Linked DNA regions of Caenorhabditis elegans. The protein of the gene in region 1 purifies or fractionates together with the protein of each later gene. This does not show direct contact. Each region holds a gene or a part of one and is shown in the gene's direction. Other genes may lie near its edges. The genes, in order: oac-29, F09C12.2 and K02F6.7.

Region 1 (6,632 bases):
TTTCAAAAAATATTGTAGTTTTTGGAGTGTGTTCTTTTTATTTTGTAAGTATAATTGTGTATGTACTTATGTTATGTATGTACCAAATATTATTCACGTGATTTTCACTGAACATAAAACTTACAGTGTCTGTCTGATTTTTTCTGAAATACAAATATTACCAGCAAGAGAAAAGTGCAAAGTTCACTTCTTCGGTTAAGTTATATCTCAAATTTTTAATAAAAATCTGTATAGTCTCTCTCTCATAAAAATATTGATGATTTAAACTATAGTTGACTAAAAAATTCCAGAATAATTTGTCCCCTTTGGAAAGCATTTCCTGTTGTACCTTTTTCCAATTTCCTTTCAATTATCAATGCAATAACCTCAAGTTTTCATATCCTTATGGCTTTTCAAACTGCATCCGGTTGCATTTTCAATAACCGTTTTCAAAATTTTGAATCAATTCCATTTCATTCTGGTATAGCACCTGGACGTCGAACAAGGTAAGACTATCTAGCTTTTTTTAAAATTAAATGTGTATTTTTTCCAGAATGAATTCAATTTTCTGTTGTTTCAACTCAAAACAAGCAGAATGGCTTGCCCCAATAATAATGAGTCAACCTGTTCCATTTTCAACACCGCCGAGACCTGGATTCAAAGTTGCACCGGAACCTCCTGAAGGAAAGGGACCATCGATAATTTATGAAGACGGTTTTACAAAAAACGATGTTCCGGTTGGATTTTATGTTTCTGATTTATCAGGACAAGATATTTAATCATTAGAGTAATTTGAAAGAAATAATAAAAAAAATGTTTTTGAAATGTTGTTTTTTTTTGTTTTTAACAATGAAAATAACGCCAAAATTAAAATTTCAGCAAAACAAGTTTTTTTTTGAAACCAGTTAAATCCAGTTCATTCGTTCCGTCCTTAAGTTACCTTTGTCCGCAGGTCTCTTTGGATGGATTAAAGGATTAGCACAGTTTCATTCCACAGTCATCTTCTTTTCTTTCACCAGAATCATCCAACTTTCCATTGCGATGCTTTCACCGTTCCTTCTTCTTTTTCTTCTCTTTTCTGCTCCAGCTTCCGCATTCTTTAATTCATTATTCGGTGGATCAAATTGTGGATGCTCGTGTACTCCTCCACCGTCTACATGTCCAACTACTTGTCTTCCAATCATGACGTGTACTCCACCTTCCCCGCCGGCATGTTGTAACACATGTGGAACTTGTAACGGAAAGAGAAGAAGACGGCACCTTACAATGTTAAGTAATGCTACATATGTGGCAGATCATGGTGAGTTTCAGTTTTTTTTAAGTTTCCAACTTATTTAAAACCTCTGAATTAATTCACCAATATCTTCAATATGTATTCAGAAAAAGTGAACCGAGTAAAGCGACAAGACGATCAAGAGACAACCGTAACATCAGGAAACTGCAACTCTGTCGAACTACAAAGAATTATCGAAAGTGTCAGTCAATTTACTTGATTTTAAAATGATGAGTTTACAAAATAGTTGAGTGAGACTTTGGAAGACTCGGTCTAAACCACTGTAATGAAGTTTACTTCAACTTTGTTTCAACTTCTGCGAAACTTTGAACCAAAATTTTCTTGCATATTAAATTTGGGTCAAACATCGTAAAAAGTTCATTCTAACTTGGGCGCAGCCTGATCGATGGCTTGCCAATGTCTCACCCAACTTTTTCCATTACTCTGAGATATTCCATTAATTCTTTTCAATTTTCAACCCTGAATAATTCAGGGTTCAAGTGTAATTATTTAATGCCTAAGAAATTCCCAAAAATACAATGTTATTTTCTTTCTCGAGTTACCAAAAAAATTGTGTTGGTGAGCTTCATAATTTTATATCATTTTCTAGAAAATAGACCGTGTGACTGCGATTGCAAAGCGAAGAATTCAAGAAGAAGCCGAGGCAACGATGGGTGGCCGATTCAATGTTATCTGTGCCCGAGGCGACTTTTCATACGTGGCAAATACTGAACTTTTCTGTCAACATTCTGTCGGTGATGTCACGTGTTTCTTGTTCAAACAACTTTCGGATGTTGTTAGAAGACGGCTGATGTGATACTAAATGGAAATATTAAGATATTCAAGGAATATCAATTAATTTTGAATGAAGAATTTAAAATAAATTTTTACACTGAATGAATATTTTTCAAAACATTAATCGTATAAAAAAACTTTTGGAATCTTGATGAGAAGATAAAAAACTTGCAATGAGATAAAAAAATGTTTCACAAGGGAAAAAGTGCATGTATCGAAAAGGAACCGTTGCAATTAGGTCAGTTTTTTGCAGGTGTCCTTTTAAAAATACATTTATAAAAAAGATAGAAAAGCCAGTTTTTTATTAAGTCTCTTATGTATTCCTGAACCATCTTCAGTTCTGCTGTTGCTTCTTTGAATCAAACTACTTGCAAGTCATCGAAATTTTCTGCGGGATTTCAGGCATTGTTGTTCAGCATGTACGTAGCAGAAAATATATCAGTTCAGTTTGTATATTCCGGGTACAAACAGATAAAGATTTATTTATTTTCCTTATTATTTTTGTGATGGTTATAATCATAAAGATTTTTCAAGTAAACTACCATCAGAAATTCCGTTTACGTAATCCCATGAACTTTTGGATTCACATTAAATAAGGTTAAAGAATTGAGAAAGTGTTGCGTTTGAAGAAATGAAAAACGCAATGATTGTCTGACCTGATTCAATATGCAAATCTAGACTATTTTAGATCGAACCTCCAATCGTTTCTCTTTTCGTGTTTTTCTTAGATCAAATCTTACTAGTTTCCGAGTTTAAAGGTGTAGTAGCTTCCGTGAAGATTTAGTTTTGGTAGAAAGTGGTCTGTAATGACCAAGTACTCGATACGATTGGTACTTTTGGGCTGAGTCACTTCCATTTTTCCATTTTCTCGAATGCCACCCATTTTTATCGGTTATTATCGTTTGAATTTTTCCACACATACATATGGATTTCACAAATTGTTTTCCAACTTTTTTTCATTTGTTAATGAATATGATAATAATTTTTCAATAATACAAAGCTTTTTTCAAAAAATAAATTTTCAAATATGAAACATTTTATGCAATTCTTTTTTAGTCAATTTTGGTTTTTTACACTGCCATTATTCCACTTTTAAGTTTTTTTCAGTTAAAAACACGAAATGTCCAGTTCAAAGTTTCAAAGTTTACAAGGCCTTCGCGGAATTTCTATTATTCTAGTACTAATCTTCCACCTATTTCCCAAAATTTTCAGCAACGGATTTGTGGGAGTTGATATGTGAGCCAATTTTTATTTTCAATTTTTATAACGCATTCAATTGTTATTTTTCAGGTTTTTTGTGCTTTCTGGATACTTGATGACTAAAATTCTGTCAAAAGAATTTACATTAAAATCGGTTCTGATTTTTTATAAAAATCGATTCATTAGAATAATTCCACTGTACTATTTGACAATATTTGGAACAATTATTGGTATTTTTAGAACTTTTTTCAAATAAGTTTAGTGTTGTATTTCAGGTGTTCTCTGTCTTGTACTACGAACTGAACGATCTGATTTCTTATTTGATGTCAGGTGGTGTCTCCCATTGATTTCAAATTTTCAACCAATATTTGAACATCATTCTTACTGGGATCAAGTATCTACAATTCGGTATTTAACTCATCTCTGGTCGCTTTGCACAGAACTGCAGTATTACCTGATGGCACCTATTATTTACTTCATAGCTTCAAACCTCTCAAATTCAAATCGTATATTTGGTTATTCTCTTGCAATAATTATATTGTTCTTATTTCAACTTTTAACTCCATTTGAACTCTCATATTGTTTTCTCGCATCAAGAGTTTGGCAGTTTTTACTTGGATCAGTAGCATTTGATCTGTCACAGAAGAATAACGAGACTATGGATTTTTATATTGAGATGAAGAAAAATAAGGAAAATTGGAATCTATTTGATATTGTTCCTTATATATTTCTAGCTGTATTAACGACAGTACTCATTTTACCATGGATGTTTGGAGAGCACCTCACACGGTTGGAATTCTATGAATACGATGAAAAATAATATTTATTTTTAGATTTGCAATGTCGATTTGCGCGGCAATATTGTGCCTTTTATGTGGTCGTCTGGAAAATTCATTTTTAACGTAAGTACTTATTTTCAAGAATTTATATATTGAAGTGGTGTTTCTTTTAAAAAACATGTTTGAATTTATTTTACGGTTAGGAAAAAATTTGAATTAGGTGAAACTGCGCAAGAGGTCATTGAAAAGGTCTCGGGCTTATTGTCCGGAACGGTCAATCACTTGTGGTGTAACTTTATTCGGCTAATCTAGAGTTTACTGAAATATTGTGTTTCCGAAAATGCTCACGCCGGCCTCGTGTATGGAAAGCGGCTCAAAAACTTAAAAATTAAAAGTTGGGGAATATATTTTTCAGATTTCCTCCGTTGGCATTTATTGGTGATATTTCCTATGTTACTTACCTGATTCACTGGCCAGTCATCAATTTTGTAAAGTACATTCAACAAAAAGATCATCTGAATTTGGAAGTTTATGGTGATTTTTCAACATTCCTAAACTAATATTTGATTAAACTTTTCAGAAGCTGTAATTGCAATTTTTGTAGTTTTTGTGTTATCTCTACTTTCACATTTTCTCATCGAGGTTTGTTGTTTTTTTTTAATGCGGTCAAAGATGAAAAGATTTAAAAAAGGAAAAGTAGAACAGTTTTCTGTTTTATTTAATTTATTTTTTGATATGTATTTTGATATCAAATAGAAGTGGTTCTAGAAAAATGAAAATAAGATTATTATTTACAAAAACAATTTTCAGAAGAAACTGTCCCAGTTTGATTTCTATATCAACTTTACAATTACCGCTTTCACGATTGGAATGTGTTTAGCCATGATTCCATGGATTGAAAATAATCAATGTCTTGCCATGAAAACATTATCTAATCCTTTGATTGAAAATGCTGAATTTAACTTTAATAAATCCAACACAATCATTCCAATTTCGGATCTTGGCTGTGATTTTAATGAAACTACTGCGAAATTGCCCTTGAACACGTTTGGTATTGAATATTGTTCAAAAGTAAGTAATCGGTAGATTACTATTTTTGGAGCACTTCTAATTTCAGAAAGGAAATGGCACCGGAACTATAATGGTAATTGGAAATTCGCTTTCGATACGAGCTTTTTCGACTATTTTCAAGCTTTTTGACGGAAGATATGAAGAAATTCGATTATTTGCAAAACATGGTATGGTTATTTTGTTAAGCCTGTGTGTTTTGGTAGTATGACGTCACTTCAATTTTCAGGTGGAGCTCCACTTCTAAATATTGTCCCACTGTATAATGCAGTTGTTCTTGACATGGCAAGAGATATTAAACCTGATCTTTTGTGGATTATTCAGGGAATGAAGTTAGTTTTTTTTTAATTATTTTTGGGGATTTGGCCGGCGTAATCGTCTAATTTTCTGTACAAAAAAATATAACTTTTTGAAAAAACATTTGAATTTCTGTTTCGAAAAATAATATGTTTCAGCGAAATCACTTTTCATGGTACCTCTAACACCTACAACTTCGAGTCAAATGCTCTTGATGAAGTGATTCCTAAGACGTTGGATACATTCAAGACTGTTGCGAAAATGGTTTTCATTGATCTTCCATATTATGTTACAATAGACTATCCAGCAAAGTTGATGGCAAGAAGCTTGATTTATAGAAAAAATCTGGAAGAAAAGTTGGCGGTCAACTTTAAGACCGTCAACAGACAACTTTCAGACCAAACTGATAGACTATTGAATGCTAATTGCAGTAATTGTCAATTTAATGATATTCAGAAGGTATTTCTAAGCGTCAAGTTAGGAAAAAAACAATTTTATTTCAGGCTCTCACGAATGGATCCGACAAGTTTTATCTCTTCGAAAAAGATACCTATAAAGCATTGACTTACGATGGATCTCACTTGACACTTACCGGATTTAAATATATTGAACCCATTTACCAAAAAGGAATTGATAGTTACTTTCAAATGTTAGATTCCAGTGAAAACCTCTAATTTTTTATCCTTATTTCTGATTTTCAGATCTTATTTGTATATTTAGATATATAAAATAGTGTCCAATTTTCTATCGATTAAATCGATGGTAGGCCTAAGTAGCTTATAAATTATATAATATTGAAATTGATTTGGAAAAGTTTTGACAGCTACAGTACTCCAAAAATGCCACCAAGCTAAATAGACTTTTTTAAGGCAAATATAATTTTTTTTTTCAATTTTGACTAAATCTACCAAAACTTTATACAATTGTAAGATTCTTTTTTTTGCTTCATATATGGGCTTATTTTGACAAAAATTCGATCCATTTGTCTGTAAACGCTCGAGCAACATAAAACCATGCGGCATCATTGCAAAAACGCGCGCGGTGGTTGCAAACGCGTACACAATGAACTCCGCCCATCAGCTGACGTACTGGTGACCCGTCTCTCTTCAGTCTGTTTTCACCTCGTTGCGCTCTGTTTATCGACTCTATTCTTTTCTCAGTCTAAAAACAATTTATTCGATTTTTTATTTAATTCTTTTATTAGACTTTTTTCAACTCTTTTCTTGGTTTCCAGGACTATT
Region 2 (4,674 bases), on another chromosome or scaffold:
ATGTGTAAAATCTATAAAATTATATTGTTTTTTATTTTTAAAATTTGAAAGTTTCTTGAAATTTCAGACTGAATTTAATTTGAAGTTGATGTTTCAGAAAAATTTAATCGAAAACGAAATGTTTCTTTTGGAACAGCTTGACACAATTAAAAACTATTAGGATCTTTGTTAAAGAAGCTTTGAGAAGCTTGGATATAATAAATTCAATATTAAATCTAAAAACTAAAACCAAAATTGTTTAGGTTATCTGGCGGCATCCCTCCTTCAAAAAAATCGAAAAATCATCTGGATCGAAGAAACATCGACCGAATACGAGAAGGATACAGTGAGAAACGACGATTTATTCCGAAAATTCGAGACAAGCGAGCTAGTGTTAGATTTTACATTTTCTTCTGTTGGCCCCAAACAGTAAATTTTCAGAGTGATAGTTCATCAAAACTTGATGACAAAGATCGAATAGTGAGATTGCGAAAGTCTCGACAGGAGTTAAGGAAAACCAGTAAAGATGATGACCGTGGAGTGTGACAATGACAATTTATCTAGTATGTAATATTTTAATTCTTCTACTAATTCTTTTGATGATCAGTGATGAAATATGATAAACGGGTTATTTTTTGTTTGACTGATGGTTGCAGGGGTTCTGAATAAACAACTAGGAAAATATATGGAATTAAATAATGGAAAGGAATAATGCGCAAATTAAAAAAAAATCTCTCCCTTATGAATTTCCTCCTCAAAATACTGCAGATTTTTCCTAAACCGTTCCAAATTAACTTAAAAATTGTATTTTATTAAATAATTGTATTTTATTGCCGGCGACAAAATTTAAAAAAAAACTGAGGAATATGAATGGTTTTATTTAAAAAAATTTTTTTTCGAGGTCTGCAACAGGGCTGTGCGACAACCGGCAACCGAGTTTCATATTTAAACATAAAAATTTTTCAAATTTTAATTTCTAAATTAAATCAATCTGAATTAAAAATATGAATATGAATTCAATCTGAAATTGTGGTTATTTGTTGCTTCTGGAACTTTTTTGGACAGCATCATTTTTAAAGAAAAACCGAAACCCTTATTGCCCAACTCGATCGAAAACATTTTCAGGTTAAACAAATTTCCAAAAAGCTTCCAGAGCTCTACACCCAATTATAAAAGGTCTGAAGGACTTCATTTCAATTTCGTTTTTTTTTGAGAATACAAATTTCCAACTGGAGACCTTGACAAACAGAGAAAGAACGTCGGCACTAAAATATTTTCAGAAAAGTTTATGGGAAGAGCACAATATGCAATATTATATTTGTTTGTGATTCATTACATAACTGATCTGTCAATAGCATAAAAATAATAAACTCCTTCTCCTTTCTTTGTTGAGCAGCCACTTCAATTCTTAAACTGTAAATATTGAACGAAATATTATCAATTCTTCAACTGTGAATCTGTTTTTCTTAAATCTGATAAATATACATCTGTTACATTAAACATAAAGGAAGTTTTGATAAGAAACCATGTGCTGAGATGAAATTTTTATGATTTCTCGAATGCTTATGGACTGCAGAGGACGATGACTTGAATCATAGGCGGAATCATTCTTTAAAAAATTCTTCACCGGAAAACATTTGATAACATCACCAAAAGTACGCAGTGTCTGTCTCTCTTATCAGGACACGCCTCAATTTCCATAATAAAACCCACGGAGTTCTGACATAAACAAGCTGACAAGAAAGGTCAGAGAAGAAAAAAACAAATGTTGAAGACACGTTCAACTGTAACTCTTTACAGAGCTCCAGACTATTATTCAAAAAACGTATTCCTTGAAGAGCAAAGCGGATCGAAATCTTGCTCAAATGATTTATTTTGTCTGGAAGCAACTCAATATTTGGCCCAAGAAAACCTGGGAGCTGGGGCTTTTGGAGTAGTGTGCAGAGCAATCGATTCAGTAAGTTTCTTTGTTTAAAAAACATTTCAACAAAAAATCTGAAAGTGTCTCTGGAACTTATTTTTAATATTTTTTTTTGCTGCAAGTATAAAGATGTCAAAATTAACTGTTGAATCGTGTGAGACTCATCTTCAAAAAATTTAAGGTTTTCGGAGTAGGGTAGGCACGTCTGCCATCTGTGATTCCTTGTTAGTGTAGTGGATTCCAAGTCAGGACATTTTGATTACTTCGAAGAGAGTAATCATTTACATATACATTAATTACCGAACGAATTTAAATTATCTTCACCCTCGCGTCTGCAAATTGATAAAAAACCTTGAACACAGACTCCATATGATTTGAAAACTATTCCTGTTGTTTATTACTACAAAAACAAATTACAAAACGAAATTCAACCAATTTCTTTATCATTCTTTCAGTTTCAACACCTTTTTTATTGGAAAATAAATAAACATTGCGATGATCAACAGAAATATACAATTTTGCAGAAGCTCAACAAACAAGTAGCCATCAAAAAAATAACGCGAGTTTTCAAAAATCAATCAACTGCAAAATGTGCACTGCGAGAGATTCGGATAACTCGAGAACTTTCTCATGAAAATATAATTAATTCAACTGATGTTTTAATGAGAGAAAGTGGTTCGGGTCAGGATATTTATATAGTTATGGATCTTATGGAAACTGATCTTTTGAGTGTTTTGAAATCAAATCAGACATTGAACGAAAAACATTTTCAATACTTCTTTTATCAAATTCTCAAAGGCTTGAAGGTTTACTCACTCTAAATTCTCTTCGAAAACTTTAGAATTTGTTTCAGTATCTCCATTCCGCTGGAATTATTCATCGAGACTTGAAACCTGCGAATCTACTTTTAAATGAAGATTGCTCATTAAAAATTGCTGATTTTGGAATGTCAAGATCCGGTCCATCCACTAAAACGACACCGAATACTAGCCCAAATGCACACATTAGCGGCGACTTATCAGTAAGCGGAAGAATTCGAATGTTTTGAAATATTTATTATAATTTCAGCAATATGTGTCAACACTTTGGTACCGTGCACCAGAAATTCTTCTTTCGATGGGCGAGTATGATACTCAGTAAGTTGATAAAATGGAATAAATGTGAAACTCTGAAAAAAAGTCTAAATTATCTGAAAGCAACTTGGAGATTAGGAACTTGCATAAAAGCTTGAAAAATATCAAAAATATATATTCTTCCAAATGTTGAAGATTGACCAAAAACTTTGACTACAACTGGCAAATAATTTTTGTAATTTTTTATTGTTGTATTTGGAGATATTTTCTCTTAACCAAGGAAATATAAAATCGATATTTCCTTTGAATACTTTTCATTTCATTAACCACACTGTTTTAAAGAGTAGATATCTGGTCAGCCGGATGTATTCTGGCGGAAATGCTTCTCCTCCGTCCAATATTTACTGGAACAGATTCCTACTCTCAAATACAACTTCTCATTGAATATCTTGGAACTCCCGACGAACAAGTAATCAGAAGAATTAAATCACCATCAATCAGAGATTATATTTCTTCATTTGGCCCGAAAACTCCCCTTCCGTTTACGGCAATGTTCCCAAATGCCAGTATTGAAGCTAGAAATATTGTTTCAAAGGTCAGTTTCATATTAGAAATATCATATATTTCTGAAAACTTAGATGCTACAAATATCACCTTGGAAACGATTTTCGGCCGAACAACTTCTGGAGGAACCCTTTGTAAAGCACTGGCACACCGTCAAAAATGAGCCAAGCTGCCCAAATCAGTAAGTTGTAACGATTCAATAAAGTATCAATTCAAAATTTCAGCATTCGACAAAATCTGCTGGAAACTGCCAAATATGAAGGTGATGTTATCATAAAAGGTCTTCAAGAAGAAGTCAGGATATTTGAGAAGAAACAAAAAGTTTATCCGAGTGAGGGATCGAAAGTTACACACAAAAATTCATTGAAACAAGTATTTGGAAAAATACTCTTTAAGAATAATAAAATCTAAATTGTGGAAAAAAAAACTTTCAATTTCAACTTCTCAAAAATAAATCGTATTGCGATAAAAAACTATCAAGATTTTGAATTGTATAATACAAGTTTTTTCTACAGAGGTAGAAAATTTGGAACAGCGGTTCATGTTGCTGGCTTAAAATTCAATTCATCCTGTGATGAAAATGATGTTTAAAAATGAAAATTCCCTTAAGATCAGTTAACTTCACGGACGGGTTCGAAATTGCAGGTTTTTTTGGGATTTAAGCCCTAATTCAGATCAACAAGTTTCCGAAAATTTTGAAGCTCCAACTAATTCAAATTAGCTAATTTCATTGAAATATGCAAGGTCTATCGAGGAAAACAGACAATAAGAATATTTAATTAAAAAAAAAAACATCAGAAAATAATATTTAGTATTTTACTTTGCAATAACCTTTTGATGCGGTTTACACGTGAATCTAAAACATGAAAAATAATCAATAAATATTGAAACAGAACGGAAAAAGACAATTTCAATCATTACTTAACTACTTGGCAATTCAAGATTGACGATATTCCAATGGGTCGTTGTGAACAAGACAGTGAGTTTTTTATTCGTTATTATTTTGGTGAATAAAATTTCAATTTTCAGAGAAAAATGCAGAGGACAATTCTGAAGTCGGATCATACAATTGTCCATCAAACCGGGATCACCGGGATTCATCGCGCCGAGCCCAGTAAGTTCTGAGACTCGAATGGC
Region 3 (6,866 bases), on another chromosome or scaffold:
TGTTATTAACGTTATTATAGGGTATGAAAACTAACGAAAAGCAATGTGCAATTGATTTCCATATCTTTCCATGATATCCGACACATTGAAACCCAATCTTTGGTATTCCACCAAATCCAATATCTTTCCATATTCGATCAAAAGACGGGGCTGAAAACAGAAAATTAGATTCTTCTCAAACTTCTCAACTATCACCGTACCCTGTCGCTTTTCATTTGAAACTCCAACTTGTCAGTATCACTTTTCAACAAACAAATTGCTGTTTCCTATCAATTTCCTATCACACAAATCGACTAAACCCTCCAACAGGTAAAATTGAGCCTCTCTCCTTACTTCCTTGAGCTCTTTTCCTTGTTCAGGAAGATCCACGTCACCGTCTCTCAGGAAGTTCAGGATTAAGTCGAAATGTTTTGGGGAGCGGTCGATGAAAATGCAATTAGATGCGTCGGTTTGGAGCTGAAATAAAAAAATAAAATAAAATTTTAAAGTGCACTTTTAGTAATTTTTTTTTTAGAGTGCTGTTGAAGTTACACCAGGTGTGGGCGGCAAATTGCCGGAATTAAAAAGTTCCCGAAAAATGCTGATTTGCCGAATTTGCCTGAAAATCGGCAATTGCCGACTTATGGTTTTCTACATCTTTTTTTTGGAAATTCAGAATTTCACATTTAGTTGTCAAAATTTTACGCATCCTCATATCTAAAGCATATCTAAAGAAAACGGGAAAAAGGCGCAATTTAAGTGTTAAAAATTTTTTTTTTAATTACAATTTAAAATTTCCTGCAAATCGGCTAATCGCCGAAAATGAAAATTTCCGGCAAATCAGCACATCACCAAAAATGAAAATTTCCGGCAAACCGGCAATGTGCCGATGATGAAAATTTCCGGCAAATCGGCAATTCGCCGAAAATGAAAATTTCCGGCAAATCAGCAAATCACCAAAAATGAAAATTTCCGGCAAATCGGCAATGTGCCGATGATGAAAATTTCCGGCAAATCGATAATGTGCCGATGATGAAATTTCCGGCAAATCGGCACATTTCCGAAAATAAAAGTTTTCGGCAAACCGGCAAAGTGCCGGAATTTAAAATTTCCGGCAAATCGGCAAATTGTCGAAAATGAAAATTTCCGGACAATCGGAAAATCACCAAAAATGAAAATTTCCGGACACTCGGCAAATCACGAAAAATGAAAATTTCCGGAAAATCAGCAAATCACCAAAAATGAAAATTTCCGGCAAACCGGCAAATTGCCGGAGTTTAAAATTTCCGGCAAATCGGCAAATCGTTGAAAATGAAAATTTCCGGCAAAGCGGCACATTTCCGAAAATAAAAGTTTTCGGCAAACCGGCAAAGTGCCGGAATTTAAAATTTCCGGCAAATCGGCAAATTGTCGAAAATGAAAATTTCCGGACAATCGGAAAATCACCAAAAATGAAAATTTCCGGACAATCGGCAAATCACGAAAAATGAAAATTTCCGGAAAATCAGCAAATCACCAAAAATGAAAATTTCCGGCAAACCGGCAAATTGCCGGAGTTTAAAATTTCCGGCAAATCGGCAAATCGTTGAAAATGAAAATTTCCGGCAAAGCGGCACATTTCCGAAAACAAAAGTTTTCGGCAAACCGACAAAGTGCCGGAATTTAAAACTTCCGGCAAATCGGCAAATTGCCGAAAATGAAAATTTCCGGCAAATGGATAATGTGCCGATGATGAAAATTCCGGCAAATCGGCAATTTTCCAATAGCCGAGTTTGCCGACAGAAAGTTACACCATTTATGAACTACCACTTGGACACAGAAATTTTTTTAAAATTTCATTTTTCGAGAAAAATATATTTTGTAGATCAAATTTACCAAAAAATTATTTTTGATCTACCACATCAGTTCGCCGCGATTTTTTGCATTTTTCTGTTTGTTTTCGATACAACTGGGAGTTTTCGATCAGTTTTGCTAGTTTTTTCGGCATTTTTCTCTCTTTTTTCTAATAATTACTGATTTTCAGTACTTCTAGCAATGGCTGCTCTTCGCGTTCCCCTCTCACAGCAGCAGCTTGAGCAGTTAAAGGCAAATAAAAAATGGGGCGAGTATGTTGAGGTGAGAATTTCCGAGTTGTTACCGATTCATTATCAAAATTTGGCAGGCACAAGCAGGACAAAAGTACGAACACTTCACAAGTCCCTACAAGCAGTCGATGCTTACTGTCAAGGAGTGGATAATGCCACAAGGATTGGTGATCTACGTTAGGACAGATGATGGGACCTACCCGGCAAGAGTTGTGGTTAGTCGGGGAAGTCTGGGGACTAAAATTTTTGAATTCAACAGACCTGAATTACCCTAACACAACTTTTTAAAAAAATTAGGCCACATTGGGGCTCGAACCCCGGTCATTTGATTGGTAGATCCAACCATGGAAATTCCCACTGCGCCACTTGTGCATTTTTAAAAAAAATTCTAGATTTTGCTTAAAATAGGTTTTATAGAGTTAGTCCAGTGCGTTTAGTTAAATTTTAGACTTATACCACTAAAATTTTGTGTAGAATTAAGGAAAGTCAGTAGAAAATTCAGATTTTTGAGCGAAAATTTTATTTTTCATGGGTTTAAAAGCTAAATTTTGAGTTAAGCGCATTTGAAATACCCTACGACAAACTCGAAAAAATATTTTTGCCACATTGGGGCTCGAACCCCGGTGTTCAGATTGTTAGAGCCAGCCATGGCAATTCCCACTGCGCCACTTGCGCATTTTCTGAAAATTTCAGATTTAGCTTAACATATAGGTTTAGATAAGTTTTAGTTGATTTTTAGAGTTGCACTACTAATATTTCTTGAGAATTGAGGGAACGCGGCAGGATTTTTAGCTTTTTGAACTCAAATTCAGTTTTTTAAAGCAAAAATAAAATTTTGTTGTACGGTAAAACTATGAATTTTGAGTCGAACGCACCTGATTCATAATAAAGGACTTTGAAAAAAATTTTGCCACAGTAGGGGCTCGAACCCCGGTCATTTGATTGGTAGAGCCAACCATGGAAATTCCCACTGCGCCACTTGTGCATTTTCGAAAAATCCTGGATTCCGCTTAAAATATATGTTTAGATCAGTTTTAGTTGATTTTTAGAGTCATATTGCTAACATTTGTAGAGTCTTAATCAGAATTTTCGGTTTTCATCACTTAAATTTGACTGAATAAAACGATATTTTACAGAACGCTGGTCCAGACAACATTTGCGTCCGTATCGTCAAAGCGAACAAATCGGATCCAGAGCCAGAAACTCAAATCAGCTATGATCAAGTCATTAAGTCCACGGAAGTGCTCAAAATGGAGCCATTGTGAGGATTTTTGTTTGTTGATAAAAACCAATAACCTTCATATTTTTTTCAGAAAATTCAAATGGATTCGCAAAAAGACCGACAACCTTTATTCCATCGAAGCTTTCCAAAATTTGTCGGGATTTTTCAACAAAAAAGTCTTCGAGCTTCTCAAAAAAGGCGATTTCATGGAGTATCAACACGACGATGAACCATGGAAATGCACCATCGTAGAGATCATTGAAAATCACAACGGACTGATTTTTATCAGAAATGGATTGTTCGTGAGATGTGTGCACATGTTCAGTCCATTCTGTCATGAACTCGGCTGGGCTGACAAGTTGAAGGAGACAAATGGTGGGTGATCTTTGTCTTTTGGCGCGGAAAATAACTTCTTTTTTCCAGACGAAAGAGCTGCTGGGATGACTTACAAAATTCTGATCAAACTGGAGAATGATAGGGATCAGCGGGTTATCGTGGATCGTCACATTTTTCGGAACAATACGATTTCGCCTCATCGATTTCAGGTTTGAAGGATTATTGAACAGAGTCGGGCAGATGTATCTCAGGCACGCCTAAGGCTCAGCCTGAGCCTAGACCTAAGCCTAAGCCTACGCCTAAGCTTAAGCCAAAGCCAAAGCCTAAGCCTAAGCCTAAGCCTAAGTCTAAGTAAAAGTAAGACTTGTATTTAGATAAAATTCTTGCCAGAGCTCCGTCCAGTAAGGTAAGGTTTAAGCCTAGGCCTAAGCCTTGGCCTCAGCCTAAGACTAAGACTATTCCTCAGCCTAAGCCTAAGCCTAGGCCTCAACCTTAGCCTAAGCCTAACCCTAACCATAAGCCTGAATCCTGACCCTAAGCATAATCCTAATTCTAATCCTAAGCCTAAGCTTAAATCTAAGCTTCAGTCTGAATCAAAGCATAAGCCTAAGTCTAAGCCTTTGCCTAAGCCTAAGCCTAAGCCTAAGCTTAACCCTAAGCCTTAGCCAGAGCCTAAGCCTGAGCCTAAGCCTAAGCCTAAGATCAAATTTTCGCCAGAGCTCTGCCCAGTCCCCCACACTCAGACTGTTTTCCTGTTTTTCAGGATCTTCAAGTCCTTGTCTACCTGGAAGAGGACCATTTCTACCTGGCACATGTCAAGTGCAAGACTAGAAAAACAGGCCTGACGGATTCCTACTTTTTTCAAATTTCACGTGGAACGGAGCTTGTCAGGGACTCGCTGTTGTCGGTGCGTTTATTTAGTTTCAGAATATTTTAAGAAATATTTAATTCATTTTCAGGATAACAAGATGCCTGTGCAATTCCACTTGAATGATGCGAGAATTTTCGGGTATCGCGACCTGGAGAGACTGCATTTTCCGATTGATCTACCGGATGGCGTGCAGAAAATTGAAGGCGAGAGTAACGTGGACGCCTATATCCGAACCTATTGCCTGACTGATAAAGAGGTGAGGCCTTCAGCAAGACTGTGGTAGTTTAGGCTTTTTACTTTTCCAGAAAGCCAGAGTTCCCCGTCTCAACGAATCTGAAAAGAGAGCAATGTTTGATAGGGTAAGGGTATTTTTGAAAATTAGGCCAGTAGGCAAGAACCTCTTCCAGAAAATTCTAAGCAACGAGATCGGAGTCCACATGAAGCACGGAGCAATGTTGAGGGATTCGAAGTTCAACCCAACCGCCGGATCGCTTACGCCTTGGGCTGGAACAAAGTGTGCGGAGGTCTCCTGGTTCCTGCCATCTTCGGGGAGGACGAGAAATCGACGTGCGGATTTGCTCGCTGCGAGAGTTGTCAAGTATACCGAGCACATTGCACACTTGTATGTGGCTAGACTGGACAAGACGATCTACATGCATGTCGCGTGAGTTTGCCGGGCTTGGGATTAGGCTTAGGCTTAGGTTTAGGCTTAGAATGGGGCTTTGGTTTAGGCTTAGGCTTAGACTGAGGCTTTGGTTCAGGCTTAGGCGTAGGCTTAGGCTCAGGCTTAAACTTAGGGATTAGGCTTAGGGATTAGGATTAGCGCCTTAAGCTTAGAGCCTTAGGCTTATTGTTAGGATCTTTGGCTTAGGCTTAGAGATTAGGCTTAGCGCCTCTAGCTTAGGGACTTAGGCTTAGAACTTTAGGCTTATGGCCTTAAGCTTAGGCTTAGGGATTTGGCTTAGCGCCTCAAGCTTAGGGACTTAGGCTCAGGGCCTTAGGCTTAGGCTTAAGCTCACGCTTAGGCTTAAGCTCACGCTTAGGCTTAAGCTCAAGCTTAGGCTTAAGCTCAAGCTTAGGCTTAAGCTCAAGCTTAGGCTTAAGCTCCAGCTTAGGTTTAAGCTCAAGCTTAGGCTTAAGCTCAAGCTTAGGTTTAAGCTCAAGCTTAGGCCTAGGCGTAGGCTAAGGGCCAAAACGTGGCCTGACGAGGGCCTTGTTGCCAACATTTTTTTACTAAATCATTTTTTTCAGAGATCCGCGTCTGCACCCTGCTGGATTCGCCGATGGCGTCAACCTTCCTATCGAATATTCTGATGCTTTTGCTAAAGATGCTGATATAGAGATTCAAATAAGCCAGCTTGAGGAGACGCTCGATAATCTCGCTTGTGAGCAGGATTCCACAAAGGATCAGAACTGATTTTTAAATGTTTTTCGTTGTAATTTAAATGTCGTATAATTATACAAGTGTTTTTTTTCTCTCATTGTGAAACTAATTGTATGATTATGGATTATTTCCCTTTATTTTATGAAATTATTTAAGATTTGCAGTTAGTTTCAATTTTTAAAAGTGTACAATTTGAATTCAGCACTTGCGAATTAGCCTAGAAGCTTTTTGAAAAAGTTCTTACCACCGCGGGGCTCGAACCCCGGTCTTCTGATTGGTAGAGCCAAGCGTGGAAATTCCCACTGAGCCATTGGTGCACTCCTGAAAAAAATTTGAATTTTCGCTGAATTTTTGTTAAAATTTTTAGGCTATACTTCGTTATTTTTTTAGGAATTGAGGATGAACACAAGAAGTTGTTGAGAACTTTTTTTTTTTTTTTTAAATTTCAGAAAATCGTCGAGACCGGGTACCATATTTTTATGGTAAAAATCGCAACGTTTCAAAGAAAAATTCAAATTTCTTTGCCTTTCTCAAAAAAAAATCGGGAAATATCGATTTTTTCTCGATGCCGATTTATCGATACCGATTTTCACTGAAATGAGATGGGAATTTGAATATTTCTAATGAGAAATTCAGAAAAATCACCTTCCAGAGTTGATTTTAGTTGAAAATTTTGTTAAATTTAATCCAAAATTGATTTTTTTTTTTCGAACTACGGTAAGCAATGCAAGTCCGCAACTTGAGATTAATTGATTTTTCCCATGATTTTCCGTTAAAACCATTTTATTTTACCAGTTTCGGAACGATTTTTCATTCAATTCATGATTTTCCGACTGCTTTCCAATATTTTCTCATTTCATAAACAGCGCACATTTTAAATTTCAAATTTCAGCAAGACTCTTCGCAATGGTCGCCACCAAGAAGGAATTTCAGCTCTCGCACATTTTCAAGAACGTATCAAAGTTGGAAGATGGATAATATTTGACAAGT

What was found.
Region 2: the proteins of oac-29 (region 1) and F09C12.2 fractionate together in Caenorhabditis elegans (co-fractionation; one large-scale study listed by BioGRID). This does not show direct contact.
Region 3: the proteins of oac-29 (region 1) and K02F6.7 fractionate together in Caenorhabditis elegans (co-fractionation; one large-scale study listed by BioGRID). This does not show direct contact.

What each region holds. Positions count from the first base shown.
Region 1 is NC_003283.11:8,631,371-8,638,002, reverse strand, and holds oac-29 (Acyl_transf_3 domain-containing protein), read left to right. Parts: upstream 1-2,327; 5' UTR 2,328-2,466; intron 2,467-3,154; 5' UTR 3,155-3,167; coding exon 3,168-3,283; intron 3,284-3,337; coding exon 3,338-3,477; intron 3,478-3,522; coding exon 3,523-4,036; intron 4,037-4,080; coding exon 4,081-4,149; intron 4,150-4,441; coding exon 4,442-4,560; intron 4,561-4,606; coding exon 4,607-4,668; intron 4,669-4,836; coding exon 4,837-5,097; intron 5,098-5,143; coding exon 5,144-5,264; intron 5,265-5,323; coding exon 5,324-5,426; intron 5,427-5,549; coding exon 5,550-5,850; intron 5,851-5,894; coding exon 5,895-6,065; 3' UTR 6,066-6,132; downstream 6,133-6,632. Other genes in the region: F28A12.10 (Chlorophyll a-b binding protein, chloroplastic), read left to right, coding at 385-485, 533-758; grl-12 (Ground-like domain-containing protein), read left to right, coding at 1,021-1,279, 1,360-1,454, 1,863-2,069.
Region 2 is NC_003280.10:5,108,285-5,112,958, forward strand, and holds F09C12.2 (Mitogen-activated protein kinase), read left to right. Parts: upstream 1-1,727; 5' UTR 1,728-1,744; coding exon 1,745-1,936; intron 1,937-2,424; coding exon 2,425-2,706; intron 2,707-2,753; coding exon 2,754-2,921; intron 2,922-2,968; coding exon 2,969-3,036; intron 3,037-3,315; coding exon 3,316-3,568; intron 3,569-3,611; coding exon 3,612-3,718; intron 3,719-3,761; coding exon 3,762-3,948; 3' UTR 3,949-3,959; downstream 3,960-4,674. Other genes in the region: mpk-2 (Mitogen-activated protein kinase), read left to right, coding at 243-372, 421-525; F09C12.8 (Protein UBASH3A homolog), read left to right, coding at 4,495-4,516, 4,567-4,651.
Region 3 is NC_003280.10:2,524,392-2,531,257, reverse strand, and holds K02F6.7 (Tudor domain-containing protein), read left to right. Parts: upstream 1-2,002; 5' UTR 2,003-2,013; coding exon 2,014-2,094; intron 2,095-2,140; coding exon 2,141-2,278; intron 2,279-3,199; coding exon 3,200-3,324; intron 3,325-3,376; coding exon 3,377-3,660; intron 3,661-3,708; coding exon 3,709-3,830; intron 3,831-4,238; exon of another isoform or gene 4,239-4,288; intron 4,289-4,384; coding exon 4,385-4,528; intron 4,529-4,580; coding exon 4,581-4,748; intron 4,749-4,797; coding exon 4,798-4,851; intron 4,852-4,899; coding exon 4,900-5,156; intron 5,157-5,743; coding exon 5,744-5,909; 3' UTR 5,910-6,037; downstream 6,038-6,866. Other genes in the region: K02F6.6 (DUF4296 domain-containing protein), read right to left, coding at 36-150, 201-215.